Arabidopsis thaliana: one gene and its partner. The protein of the gene in region 1 binds, or shares a complex with, the protein of each later gene. Each region holds a gene or a part of one and is shown in the gene's direction. Other genes may lie near its edges.

Evidence for each region. Proteins that work in one complex are often made in the same cells at the same time.
Region 2: rps18 (region 1) and PSRP4 share a complex: the UniProt entries of both Arabidopsis thaliana proteins name them as parts of the 30S ribosomal subunit.

What each region holds. Positions count from the first base shown.
Region 1 is NC_000932.1:62,318-69,709, forward strand, and holds rps18 (ribosomal protein S18), read left to right. Parts: upstream 1-5,599; coding exon 5,600-5,905; downstream 5,906-7,392. Other genes in the region: petA (cytochrome f), read left to right, coding at 1-302; psbJ (photosystem II protein J), read right to left, coding at 1,221-1,343; psbL (photosystem II protein L), read right to left, coding at 1,487-1,603; psbF (photosystem II protein VI), read right to left, coding at 1,625-1,744; psbE (photosystem II protein V), read right to left, coding at 1,754-2,005; petL (cytochrome b6/f complex subunit VI), read left to right, coding at 3,395-3,490; petG (cytochrome b6/f complex subunit V), read left to right, coding at 3,681-3,794; psaJ (photosystem I subunit IX), read left to right, coding at 4,612-4,746; rpl33 (ribosomal protein L33), read left to right, coding at 5,171-5,371; rpl20 (ribosomal protein L20), read right to left, coding at 6,195-6,548.
Region 2 is NC_003071.7:15,974,322-15,982,112, forward strand, and holds PSRP4 (plastid-specific ribosomal protein 4), read left to right. Parts: upstream 1-6,526; 5' UTR 6,527-6,626; coding exon 6,627-6,783; intron 6,784-6,850; coding exon 6,851-6,915; intron 6,916-7,003; coding exon 7,004-7,138; 3' UTR 7,139-7,291; downstream 7,292-7,791. Other genes in the region: AUX1 (Transmembrane amino acid transporter family protein), read left to right, coding at 1-108, 387-484, 1,006-1,213, 1,300-1,557, 2,238-2,471; ATMAK3 (Acyl-CoA N-acyltransferases (NAT) superfamily protein), read right to left, coding at 4,318-4,533, 5,230-5,285, 5,425-5,545, 5,645-5,824; AT2G38150 (alpha 1,4-glycosyltransferase family protein), read right to left, coding at 7,379-7,791.

The sequences.
Region 1 (7,392 bases):
AAAAGGGGGGATACGAAATAACCATAGTGGATGCATCGAATGGACGCGAAGTTATTGATATTATCCCTCGAGGCCTAGAACTTCTTGTTTCAGAGGGCGAATCCATTAAACTCGATCAACCATTAACGAGTAATCCTAATGTGGGTGGATTTGGTCAGGGGGATGCGGAAATAGTACTTCAAGATCCATTACGTGTCCAAGGTCTTTTGTTCTTCTTAGGATCGGTTGTTTTGGCACAAATCTTTTTGGTTCTTAAAAAGAAACAGTTTGAGAAGGTTCAATTATCCGAAATGAATTTTTAGATCTGTCTATTTAGCTTTATCAAATTCGTAAAAAAGAACAAAAAATTATGAAAACCTTTTGCCTCTCTTTAGATTTGCTATTCCTTTTCGACTAGATGTCAGGAATTACTTATATCATAGTCCTAATACTAGTATGTATATTGAGAAGAATTCACTTTACCCCCCTTTATTTATTTTTCAATAAAAATTTGAAAAATGAGAAGGGGTGTGATGTAACTCTGTCGTTATTGACCAATTGAAATTGATAGAATGTATCAATAATCAAGAGTTTTTTTCTAGTCAAATGGCAAAATTTGACTAGATACTAAAATAAGATAAGGAACACACGCGCCGAAAAAAAGGGGAACCATAAATCGGCGAAACAACAAGTTTTAGGGACTATAGGGAGTATTTTTTGTCTTGCTAGTCTTCGACACAAGAAAAGGAATTTTAGACATCCTTTTCTTGTGTCGATCTTGTCCTTCTTGATTCAATTCGTTAAAAACTCCTATTCTTAGTTTACATATATATATATATATTATAGTAGTTACTTTTTGTAGTTTTCTTTTTTTTTTTTTCAATTTTGATGAAATACTAAATAAATAAAATCAGAAAAAACTTCTATTTCGATTCTATTATAGTATAGACCAAATTTTAAATTTTAATGATAGATCTAATGATAAAAACTATTGTGTCAGCCGGGGAAGCAGGAAAAGGGAATGAAGTGATTCCCCTTTTTTATTCTATCTTTGAAAGATTAAAAAATACTATATGTTCATAATATACTAATTTAGTTAAGTTCATTTTTCAAAAACACGATAAAAAATTGTTCTGATTATTAGCAGTTCAACGGGACCCCCTCGAATCAGACAAAGAAGGAAGAGTTGGGCCCCGTTGAGTTCTTATGTTTTCACGTCTATAACTCAGCTCATCCAATTTCTACAGGGATGAACCTAATCCTGAATATGAACCATAAAAGAAAATACCTATTAAACCGATCACAAGAATACCAGCTACAGTACCTATTACCCAAAGAGGAATCCTTCCAGTAGTATCAGCCATTTATCCCGCTTCCCTCCACATTTAATCGAGTGGTCATGCTAGAAACATAAACAGTCAGAGATAATTATTATATATAATCCATCCGAATGGGATAATAAAATTACTACTCTTTATTTTTTATTTTATTATTCTACGCTCTTTTCTTAATTGAAGAAATAATTCGAAAATAAAACAGCAAGTACAAAAATGAGTAATAACCCCCAATAGAGACTGGTACGATTTAATTCAACACTTTGTTCGTTCGGATTTGATTGTGTCATAGCTCTATAATTGAATTAGGTTTATCGTTGGATGAACTGCATTGCTGATATTGACCCCAAAAAAGAAACGGTAGGTACAGCTAGTCCATGAACAGCCAACCAGCGCACTGTAAAAATTGGATAGGTCCTATCTATAGTCATTGGGTCCTCCTAAAAAGATCTACTAAATTCATCGAGTTGTTCCAAAGGATCAAAACGGCCTGTTATTAATGGAATGCCTTGTCGGCTCTCTGTAAAATACTCGTTTGGACGAGGGCTCCCGAACACATCGTAAGCTAAACCGGTGCTGACGAATAACCAGCCCGCAATGAATAGGGAAGGTATAGTAATGCTATGAATGACCCAGTATCGAATACTGGTAATAATATCAGCAAAAGAACGTTCTCCTGTGCTTCCAGACATACTGAACTCCAGATATTCTCGTAGGGAATCGATTCTGTAAAAGATGAATAAGTAAATTAAAATTCACTGAGATTGCATCTTTGTGAGATCGTCAATAAAGTACCAAGGGTATTTTTAGAGTCTACCGAATCAGTATAGCTATCCTTCTTCTGACACAGCAACGCAATTTGAATTAGTATAGAAATGGGGTGTTACATAATTTCTTTTTTTCTTGCTTGTCGATGTATAACCGTGTCCCACTTTTTCAAATTACTGTAATCTATAGGGGCTTTGATCCTTTATTCGTTTTGGACTAGAAAATAAACTAAAGATTAGATAAAATGAAAATCCAAGAAGTTGGTTTCTAATTCTAATAATTCATGAAGCAAATTTTCATATGGTCCCAAGTTAATTGAATGAAAAATTTATAAATTTCATTTTCATTGCATATGCATAATTGTAGAATAGATTTTTTTATGATAATGTGATCCCCCCTTTTACTTTTTGTTTCATTTTAAGGAATTAATTTGCAGAAACAAGAAAAAGAACAATAGTTTTGGATTGGATTGGATCAATTAAAAAGAACAACAAATAAAAATAATAAAAAAAGACTAAATATTTGTAATGCGTGCATTGTTTTGTTGTATTCAATTCACAATTCAAAGGTTTTTTTCTTTCTTTAACTAACTACAAGGGTGATGGGTTTTTCACTCTATTTTCTATATAATCTCGAAAGAAAAAAACCTAAAACCTCGAAAGGAAACGATAATAGAAATTGCTAATTACAAGTTTTAAAAATCTAGTTATCGTTTAAAATCTAGTTAAAATAAATAAATCTTTTTTTTTACTAATCTCGTTCTCCGTGTAGGATACCTCTTTTCTTTTTAGTCTCATTCGATAGATTAAATGAAGAAAACTGCTCTACTATTTAATTTAATCTAATGAGTTTAAATTTTAGTAAATTCAATTTTAATAAAGTAGAAAGAGGCGTATTCTAGGTTCTAAGGTCAATAAAAAAAAAGAATCAAACAACTTATTTTCAAATTTTTACATATTCATTCAAAAAAAGTTATATGTTTTGACTGAAGTTAGATAATAGAGTTATTTTTTTTATGTATTATTTTTTTTTATGATTAATTTCTTAAAGAGTTTTTCAATTAATAAGTTACGTTAATTCTGACTCCTGAGATAGTGCAGATGCCAAAGACGATGAATTGAGTTCTTTTTATCTTTCTCTATTTTTTTTCATACCACCTATAATGATTGATAATTCACAAATTTTCAATTGAATTTTTTTAATTCTTGGAACTAGTTATCTTTCTCTATTTCTTAAAAAAAATTTCAATTGAAACTTAGGGAAGTACTTTAAGAAACATATGTATAAAAAAACATATTTTATTGAGTCCCTTCATGCCTACTATAACTAGTTATTTCGGTTTTCTACTAGCAGCTTTAACTATAACCTCAGTTCTGTTTATTGGTCTAAGCAAAATACGACTTATTTGAAATTAATTGAATGCAGATTTTTTTATAAAAAAGGATTTCGTTGGTATTTATTAATATGTTCGATAGTTCCTTACCGTGTTAATTACCAAATTTTGGTCATTGAGATTCATTGGCAATACAGATTAAGAGCTAGGAATAGATAGTACCTCTCTTTTCTCCCTTTCAAAAATGAAAACAAAAGAAAATTCAAATGATTGAAGTTTTTTTATTTGGAATCGTCTTAGGTCTAATTCCTATTACTTTGGCTGGATTATTCGTAACTGCTTATTTACAATACAGACGTGGTGATCAGTTGGACTTTTAATTAATTAACATCTCGTTTTTTTACTAACCTCCTTCTTGCTTTCCTATGCGGGAGGTCTAATTCAGACTGCTGCTCAGTAATTTGTGAACAGTGGAATTTTGATACAATCTATGAAATCACGCTCTGTAGGATTTGAACCTACGACATTGGGTTTTGGAGACCCACGTTCTACCGAACTGAACTAAGAGCGTTTTTCTTTTTTTTTTTTTCTAAAAAACGAAAAGGCTAGAAAGAGGGCATTCTTTAACCCGACTCGATTTTGTACGTATATACTATATCATACATAGTATATCATAAATTTCAGAATTAAATGTATGTCCGATAAAAAAAATTGATCAAAATAGATACCTCGTTACTGCTCTTCTGAGCAGTAATAGGTAGGGATGACAGGATTTGAACCCGTGACATTTTGTACCCAAAACAAACGCGCTACCAAGCTGCGCTACATCCCTTTCAATAGGTTTACAGTGTCATTGTAGAGAATTCCTGTCTTGTTTTCCACATCCTCCTTCTTTTTTATTGGTATATCAAATTCATTTCTTCTTTTTTTCTCATATCAGATAACAAAGATATAATTAAAAAATTTACTTTTTTTTTTTTTTTTATTCTCTCAATTTTACATAAATAGGCCTTTACGTTTTCAAATGGAATCGATAAGATCGTTCTAGTCGACAATATTAAAATTCTAATTTTGAAAGCGGGGGGACGGAAGTTACATATACAAATACAAGAACTTCTTAATTACATGTACATCTGTAATTATATATATTACTATATATAATGTAATACAATAAAGAAGAAAGAAGGAGGATTTCTAATGCGAGATCTAAAAACATATCTTTCCGTAGCACCGGTACTAAGTACTCTATGGTTCGGTTCGTTAGCAGGTTTATTAATAGAGATTAATCGTTTATTTCCAGATGCATTAACATTTCCCTTTTTTTCATTCTAGTTATTAACATCAGAAAGGGGTGAAAAATTTAGAGATACAATCAACAATCGGGGACTAACCCCCCCACCTTTTCTAATTAGTAGAATAAATTAGAAAAGGTGGGGGGGGGGGGGAAAGGTCATAAAAACGAGGGTTCAGGATCCAATGAAATTAGTAATAGAACGAAAAAAAGTGTTGCTAGGGAACCTATCAGATACTTAAAAAAACTACTGTACAAAGATTTTAAATATAGTTTTCACAAAATCATAAATCATTGTATTACTTATTTTTTTTATTTAATTACTAATAAATAAAATATTAATTGTAACGAAATATTTCAGAATTTTTTTTAGTTAACAGCTTCTATTTTTTTTGTTCTTGTTCTTTCTGGATCCTAAAATTAAAATAGAAGATTGAGGTGAATCATAAATCCAAAGGAGGTTTCATGGCCAAGGGTAAAGATGTTCGAGTAACAATTATTTTGGAATGTACCAGTTGTGTTCGAAATGATATTAAGAAAGAAGCCGCGGGAATTTCCAGATATATTACTCAAAAGAATCGGCATAACACCCCTAGTCGATTGGAATTGAGAAAATTCTGTCCCTATTGTTATAAACATACAATTCACGGGGAAATCAAGAAATAGATCAAATTGAGTGCTTGTATGTCAACTTTTATTTTAAGAACAGGAATAATGCTAGTATCTATATATTATTACATATATATAAATATAAACAAATAAATCAATAGAAAGAAATCTAATCCGATATTCTTAATTCTATATAGAAATTCTATCCTATATAGAAATAGAAATCGTTTTTATTTTGATCCGATCAAAATAGGATTTTAGAGATAAGGAATAAAAATAAAAATTATGAATAAATCTAAGCGACTTTTTACTAAATCCAAGCGATCTTTTCGTAGGCGTTTGCCCCCGATCCAATCGGGGGATCGAATTGATTATAGAAACATGAGTTTAATTAGTCGATTTATTAGTGAACAAGGAAAAATATTATCTAGACGGGTGAATAGAGTGACTTTAAAACAACAACGATTAATCACTATTGCTATAAAACAAGCTCGTATTTTATCTTTGTTACCTTTTCTTAATAATCAGAAACAATTTGAAAGAAGTGAGTCGACTCCTAGAACTACTAGTCTTAGAACCAGAAAAAAATAGACTTATTTTTCAATTGAATAACAATTCCAATCTGAAGGAATTAAAAAAGAGATTAATGTTTTGTTCAAAAAATCCAATCAAGAATAAAAATTTGATTGTTACGTCTGTGTCTATTATAAAAAAAAAAAGAAAAGAATCGTCGAAAAGCATAACTCGTTTTTTCGAAACTATATACTCTCGTTTTGTTTTGACGACTTTTTTTTTAATACTAATTTCTACTCTACCTTCCCCGAGCTCATTCTCCTTAGAACTCTATTTCAAATATTTTCGTGGATTTCTTCCAATCCCCTTATTTTTTTATGTCATTCGAAATTGTATAAAGACAACTCCTATTTAATAGAGCTATTTGTGCAAGTATTTTCCGATTAAGAAGTAATTGCTTCTTGTATAGATTGTGTATGAATTCATTATAACTATAGAATACCCCCATTTCGTGAATTACGGCATTTATTCGAGTGATCCATAAACGGCGAAAATCTCTTTTTCTTTTACCCCTATCCCGATGAGCCGAAACTAAAGCTCTTATTCTCTGTTGAGTCATAGTTCGTGTAAGCCGTGAATGAGCCCCTCGAAAGCTTGATGCAAATAAACGAAGTTTTGTTCTACGCCTCCGAGCTATATATCCGCGTTTAATTCTAGTCATTGAATAAATCAAACTTTGATGAATAACTAATTCTTTTTTTAGTTATTCTTTTCCCCTTTACTAGTCTATTAATAACCAAACGAATTATTCCAATGTATAAAAAAAATTCCAATGGCTTTTGCTACTCTAACCTTCCCCACCACTATTTTTTGCTAGGTATTTTCCTTTACTTTGAAAGGCCTTGATATAAAAAAATAGAATAACTACAAAACGTAGTAAATAGAATTGGATAAATAGTGGGTTCCATCGTTTCTATGGTTACTTCTAAAACGGTGAGGTCCTCTCTATACACCGGAGCTCCTTCTTTTAATTAATCAATACTATTGGTAACTTGTACAATTCACATTCTTTGGCTCTACCCCATGAATATTCCAGTAATAGGTCTTTCACAATGAGATCCCCTTTATACAGTAACGGTATTTCATTTTGAAAATTGATTAGGTCATTTACCCTGTTAGTCCGTTCTTTTCTTTCAAGAGTGAAATCTTTTTTCTAAAAAATGGAATTTCCCCCGCTTAATGGATACTCATTTGTTATCATTGGGGGTTTTCTAAAAAATGGAGTTGATTGGATTTGCACCAATGTAAACCATAAGTTTCAGACACAATAGAGTATATGAACGATCTATATTTTGTAAATAATGAATCGAGTTCGTCCATTCTATTTTATTCATAGGTACTGATCCGTGATATTTCAAAAAGAATTTCCTTTTTATGTCTCAGTCTATGATCTAAACGAGTCGCACATACACCCGAGTACATGTTCCTCGTCGCTGAGGGCATCCCCGAAGCGCTGGGGATTTCGTGACGTTTCGGATTGGCTGTCTTGTATTTCTAATAAGTTG
Region 2 (7,791 bases), on another chromosome or scaffold:
GTCTTTATACCGTCGTTTCACAATTACCGAATTTGGTCATTCCTTGGCCTTGGAATGACCACTTACACCGCTTGGTACTTAGCCATTGCCTCCATCATCCACGGCCAGGTAATGTTTTAATATATTTCACCAAAAATATATTTCATCACATTATAAAGATCACTACACTGTCGTTTTCATATTTATATGCTTTGCATTGAGGTGACAGTATATGCCTTAATTAAAAAGAAGAATAAAAAAAATTCGTATTTTCTCTTTAAGATCAGGGATTATTCTTTGCATCTTAACCCAAATTTGTATTAAAAAGTGTATGTATAATATAACTTAGACAAAATTAGCTGTTTAATATTCTCCTAATCAAATTTTTTTTTTGTTGTTTATTTTAGGCGGAAGGTGTGAAACATTCAGGTCCAACAAAGCTAGTGCTTTATTTTACGGGAGCCACAAATATTTTGTACACCTTTGGAGGTCACGCGGTTACTGTGTAAGTTACTCTTCTTTTGATTTCTTAATGATTATTAATTTTGTATCTAATAAAAGATCAATAAATTTTGTCAGACATAGTTGAATTACTATTTAAGTTAAAGCTAAATGGCAGAAAAAGTATATGGTAAATTAAAATGGTGCCATATTATTAAATTATGGGTGCTGCTGTATCGTTTCTTCGCCGCTTCTATTGCAGCTTTTGCCGGCAAATAAGGTGTAACTATTATTACAGTCATCATGATTGTCATTATTATTTTTAGCAATCCTTAAAATAGTAGTACTAATAAAATAAGCTCTTTTTAAATATAAAATAGAATAACCATTATTATTCCTATCCCTATAAAGAATAACAAACACTATTGCTACCAAAGCACTACTACTACTAGTAGGAATAGTACGCTTTTGCGAAATGTCAAATACACCCTTTTTATGCGTCAATGATTGTTGTGAATCCAATCTTTTACATAGTTAAAGTTTTGGATGAAATTATGAATATTAACAGTAATTTCTAATTTGCAGTGAGATTATGCATGCTATGTGGAAACCACAGAAGTTTAAGTACATTTACTTGATGGCGACGTTATACGTGTTCACGCTAACGATTCCGTCAGCTGCCGCCGTTTACTGGGCTTTCGGAGACGCACTTCTCGACCACTCCAACGCTTTCTCTCTTATGCCCAAGAACGCGTGGCGTGACGCCGCTGTTATCCTCATGCTCATTCATCAGGTATACACATACAACATTTTTGTTCTTTCTTTTTTAAGTAAATTTTGATCATGAGAGATTAATGCAACGTGTTCTTGTTCGTGCAGTTTATAACGTTCGGGTTCGCTTGTACACCTTTGTACTTTGTGTGGGAGAAAGTGATTGGGATGCATGACACAAAGAGCATTTGCTTAAGGGCTTTGGCTAGATTGCCTGTGGTCATACCTATTTGGTTCTTAGCTATTATCTTCCCCTTTTTCGGTCCAATCAATTCCGCTGTCGGTGCTCTTCTTGTTAGCTTCACCGTCTATATCATCCCATCTCTCGCTCACATGCTCACTTACCGATCTGCCTCCGCTCGTCAGGTATAACATCTTTACTAGCTCACTCTCTTTTAGCGTTTCAAAACTCGAACTTAACCTAAAATACATTGAGTTACCAATAATTTTTTAGAAATGAAATGAAGAGTCGGTGGAGGAATATTATAGTTGGGGGGTAGGGTTGTGAAATTGGAGGGCAAAAACGTCTTTTGTGGAAGATAGATGGGGTTCAGTGTTCCGTATCTTACGGAAGATAGGATCATCACCCACATTCCTTACTGGCGTCCCCTCCAAATAATATATTATTGAGTTGGTTTCAGCCATTTCTTTATTTGGTTACATTTAGAAGAAAAAATACAATATCCGGTTAGGTTAGTATTAGTAATTGACCATGACTTCTTTTTCTTTCTCTCTTTCAAAACAGTGTATATTAAATTTACGTAAGATAAAAGTAGAGGAAAATAGGGGAGAGGAATAGGTAAGAGTCATAATCAGAAATGAAAAGGAGCTGTACAATAGGGACTCTATGCCTAACATTAATCTAAAGTGAGAGTCTGAGTATGACAAATCACAATCATATCTCTCTCTCTCTCTCTCTATCTCATGGGTCAACAAAGCTTTGGATTTTGTCCATTACTATACGACCAAAACTCTAAAACACTTACACACTCTCTATTTCTTTAATGGTTCTCTGATTATTTTTGTGTTTTGGATCTTTCTTGTAGAATGCGGCGGAGAAGCCACCGTTCTTTATGCCGAGCTGGACGGCGATGTACGTGTTGAATGCTTTCGTGGTGGTTTGGGTTCTTATAGTCGGATTTGGGTTCGGTGGATGGGCTAGTGTAACCAACTTTGTTCGTCAAGTCGACACTTTTGGTCTCTTTGCCAAGTGTTACCAATGTAAACCAGCTGCAGCCGCCGCACATGCCCCGGTCTCCGCTTTACACCACCGTCTTTGAGAGATCGAGTCAGGGTTCTTCTAATGCGTTTGTGGAGGGTTCTTAAAATTATTTGTTCTTCTTTTGTGTTTTGTGTTCGTATACGTGAAGGGAGTAAAAGTCACGAAAATAGTGTACTTTTTACACACCCCTTTAAATGCGTGCTAAGCTCTTAATTATTTTTTTCTCTTTTGGGGTTTTGTATTTTTGTTTTCACTCCTTAGTTTTTTTTTTAAAATTGAATAGTCGATAATATGTAGTGTGTGATTTCTTAATTTGGTATTGTTAAAACAATAGGCTAAGAAAATGTATCGTCTTCTCTCCTTTTACTTGTCTTTAGTAACAAAAAACAATTCTTATCTTATACATTTATCCTAATTAGACTTATATAAACTATTTTACCATGAACAATATCTTCCGATACTAGATAATTCTTTAGGATCCTATTAGATCTTTTAATTATACAGTTTTGATCATAGCACAGCGACAATACTACTAAGTTTACATTAAAATTTTGAAATAACACTTTAATTTATTTGGAAAATTTGATTTAACGGCAGGGTGTGTTTAAAAATTAAATAGGGGAACATGGACAAGTTGGACCGACGGAGCCGGTCATATATCCTATGGGCCACATGGGTGTGGGGAGAGGACGCACGTGGATACTTCGTCCGAGTCACGTGCCATTATTTACTTGACACTCTTCATCTTCTCTCTGATCAAAAGAATGGATCAGAGGACCGTTCCTGTCCCTCATATTAAATATGGCATGTGTTCGTTCCATTCGTACTCAATCGTTTACCCCTTATCATATGCTCTGCTTTCACATGTACTTTGCCCCCAAAGATTATAACTATATATGTAAAATTATTAACTAATATTCTCGTTTGAATCCAGAGTCCGATTCTTGTACTTTCCATCTGACTTTTTTTTTGTTGGGGGTCAAAATAAAAAAGAACTTTGCAAAAATGTTTCTTCTAATAGCATAAAATCGTTAAAGAGAAAAGAAGAAGTGAATGTGAGTCATATTATGCGATATGGAGTAGGACCCTTGGTAACGTTTGGTTAGTGACCCTTGGTAACGAGTGGGTTCAAATTGTCAATAAACTATTATGTGGCGAGTGGTGAATCGTCTTTAATTTGTTCTGATTTAGGCCATGTGAGTTTTGCAACTACATTTGAGGCTTTTCTTCTTCTTTATATTAGACTTTTTTTTTTTTGTAAAGTGGACTATCTGGATACAAAAAAAATCTCGGCTAACATGGATAAATCTAAGATGGTTGTGTTTGTGAAAAGAAAATTGTTTTATAGTAAAATACGGTATGCAATAAAAGTATTTCATAAAATATCTCATACCAATTATTCAAGCATGTCTTTTCATAACATTTGACTGGCATCTTTCTCTCCTTTGGCCTTAAATCAATTTTTTGTCATCTTGGATTTCTTTTGAGGTATATAGAGCTGTTTGAAAATTTTGATGGCTGAAAATCACTTCACATCTCGATTTCTATATCATCCACTTAACTCGAAGTCAGGAGTAGCCTGAGACGATTAGGTTAAGTTAAGTGGTTATATGAATTTGTAACAACATTTAGATCTTTGTTTCCAATCATCAACCAAGTTTGAGAGACCTTAAAAACGTATATACGCACACCACAAAGTGATATGAATATGCTAAATTGTTTCTGTAGACACACAAGACCGTTGAAACGTCCAGATTAATCGCTTACTCCAGTCGAGAATACTTCATAAACATGGGACTAGAATTGTACCAACACATAATATTTCTTCATACGAAAGAGAACATAGTCTTAGCATGTTCAGGATTTAGAATACATTGAAGAAACACACATCTTCGTTCATGGCCTTAAGGTACACGAGGCCTAGGAAAGGTCTCATACTCTTGTTGGGTTTGAACTTGAGAAGGTATTTGAGGTACACGAGGCTTAGGGAACAAGAGCTTCAGGCGAAAAGCATCCATCCCATTCAAGTAATAGTGGTATAGCCGTTTGGCTCTTATAAACCCGAGTCGCCCATATAGTGCTAATGCTCCTTTGTTACTCACTTCTGCCTCCAGAGTTACCTTCAGCCATACATCTTTACATTAATTAGATTGCATAACCAGACAACCATACTCTCATGTTGTAATCAGGCTTGATTATGAGGAACTTGAAGAGCAAATGCCAATCACGAGGTTCTTTTTCCAATCTATTTACTACTGAGATTACAGTTAAGAGATCACACATACAACAGAAAATGATTCGTCGAATACGCAATTAGTAAGTGGGAGACAGGGATTTCTTATTTTATATTACTATCAGTTACATTCCAATGCGTGTGACTATAAAGAGTCATGGACTACATACAAGACTTATACAACATATGTATACTAAGTGAGAGACTGGGATTTTGATTTCCACTACAAAATTAGTAACTAAACGAATATCGAAAAGTTCCAACTCTTAGGAGTATGATTAACTACTTTTATACGTGGAACTAAACTTACACACACAGTTAGCTAAACAATCAAAAGCAATAGGTATACTTGCAATGATTAAAGGCAGCTACATCACCTCAGCTATGAAATTCTATTCTAGTAGATAAAAAGGAGGCACTATTTCAGGACATGTAATGGACTTATAACCTTCCGGAAAAGGTGGTTCATAAGGTCTTATCTACATTTATACTACCAGGAAAGGATATCACTCTAGTGCTACCAAATATCTAAGTTCTCCAAAGTGGGAATAAAGAGAGAAGTGAGAATGCAAGAACAGCATACCTCTTCACAGCCTGATTCCATCATCGCTTTTATCGCTCTTGTGACAAGCTCTGAGGCTGTAAAAAAACAATGACAAGTCAGCACACAAAATTATCGAACCTTAAGAGAGGCATGTATTTGCAGTAGATCAAACACTACTCCCACAGTCAAAATCTGATTCTGTAAGAAGTTAGGAAGCACTAGCTCAAGTATTACCTATGCCTCGGCCACGATATGGTTTAATCACAACCAACATAGCGATGTACCCTCTGAAAGTCTGTCGATGATCCCCCATCTTACAGACTATGGTTCCTACGCATTTACCTTTGTGAAAGGCCTATTAAAAGAAACAAAACAAATGCTACTCATAAATCCATCAAAACATAAGTATCATGAGGGTAAAGCAACGATAATCGAAAGCTGAGTGTCAAAATACCAGGAAGCATAGCTGCGGCCAGAGGTAGACGAAGTACCGGTAAGTAAAGATGGAGTAAGGTTCACTAAGTTCTTGGTCAACAAGAGACATAATCAATGGCAGATGATGCTCACCAGCATAACTCGTGTACTCAATCTCACCCTCATCGAATTCTTCTTTATCTTCCATCTCTTTCTCCATTGCAAGAAGTGATCAAGATCCCGAATTGTATACTTACAAAGAGAAATATGAACTTCTGATCAGTTGTTTATACATTGATGATCTTGTTCCTATAGGAAGTGATGAAACACATAATGCAAAGTTAGAGAATATAAATCATTTTCTGTGAATCGAAGTTGAGTGATTGTTTCAGAATTGAAAGTTCAATGTTTTCATAACAAACTCAGATTGCTCAAAGCCTCAAATAAACAGCTGAAGCAGAATCTATAACACTCTACTAAAGCAAACGACTTTGGCTAAAGCGAGCTATAGAAGATTTGAGAGTTCAGAAAAAAGAGAGCTTACCGATGTTATGTGACAATAGGATTAGTAAAGAATCCTGTGAAGCATAAGAATGAAAAAAACACACACAGATTTTAAATACCAAGTAATGAGAGATTTAGAAAGAGATGTGATTATAAAAATTGAAACTTTTTAGAAACCCAAGATCAATGAGATGATAAGAATACTTACCAAAAGTTTGAGCTTTGTGAAATTCGAAGATCAAAAGTTACGATCTGGGTGATATCTGAAGAAAAAAGCTCCGAAGAGAAGACGAAGAAGAACAAGAACAAGAACAAGAACAAGAACAAGGTCGATTACACACGTGACAAGCATGTGTAGGGTTTAGATATATTTGGGCTTTAAAATAAGCCCAATTGAAATTAAAGCCCAAATATGAAAAGATAATTAAAAGCCTATCCTAAAATCGTTTTTCTACTCTCACTGCCTTATCTTCTTCTGGATCTTCTTCTTCGAACAAATTCGAAAACAGCACACGGCGATGGCGTCGCTTATACTCGGAGCTCCTCCGCGAGTCACCGTCGCATTACCTTCCTCACGGTTATCATCTTCTCACTCTGAAACTGCCGGTGTCTCTCTCTCTTGCTTCACTCATCAATTCTCTCTCTCCACTTCCTCATCCAGCTCAATTCCACTCGGTAATCTCCCTCTCTTATCTAACTCTCTCTTAATTCGTCAATGGCGTAACTTTTCCGGTGTTCGCAGTGTACTGTGGCAGAGGTGACCGGAAAACAGCTAAAGGAAAGCGTTTCAATCACTCTTTTGGGAATGTAAGTAATCAAATTTCTCTTTCCGATTTCGTAATTTTACTTTGCAAATTCGCAATTTTGGTTTTGAATTTGGGGTTTATGTAAGCAGGCGAGGCCAAGAAACAAGAGCAAAGGAAGAGGACCGGAGAGAGTACCGGTTCCTCCAGCACCACCGAGGAAAGATAAGTTTGAGAACGACGAGAAGATCAAAATCGATATCGACGAGTCTCTCTTCTCTAATTAGAAATATGAGATTCTTCACTTGTTGTCTCTCACTGTAATTTTAATTTGTTTTTTGAAAAGCTTTGATGCTACGACTCTTTTGTTGTTAAAAACATCTCCAAAGTTCTCATCTTTTTATGAAAAGTTTGCTTCTTTATGAATCATTGAGTCTTTTACATTGAAAAAGTAAAGCAAACTAAGAACGAGAATCTATATACTTAGATAGATCAGATGGATGAATCATCTGTCTCTGTTTGGATCTTTAAATGTGAGAGTTTGTGATGTTTCCGCAGACTGTGCAGTGAGTGGAGACGAGAGTGTGCATTACACTTCCTTCTTCAATCTTAATCTTCCTTGTGACTTTGTTCCACAGATGTATCATGTAACTCCCTTTGTTCATGTCCTGTACTGTCTTCTCTACCCATTTTGCTTCTCTTGTGGTTGCAGGTTTCTTGAAAAGCTTTTGGATTTTGATCCAGTTTACTGGATAGAAAGCATCGGGAGAAAAGATTGTGAGATTGTTGTATCCAGGTTTGTTTCCTAATCTCTTGATAACTCTAGAGACTAGGTAAGGGCTGTTGTATCCCCATTTGTTTCCGTCGAAAGTTGTGGCATACTCTTGCAAGAATTCTCGCATTAGCGGATGGTAGATGTCAAAGACCATCACTGCGTTGT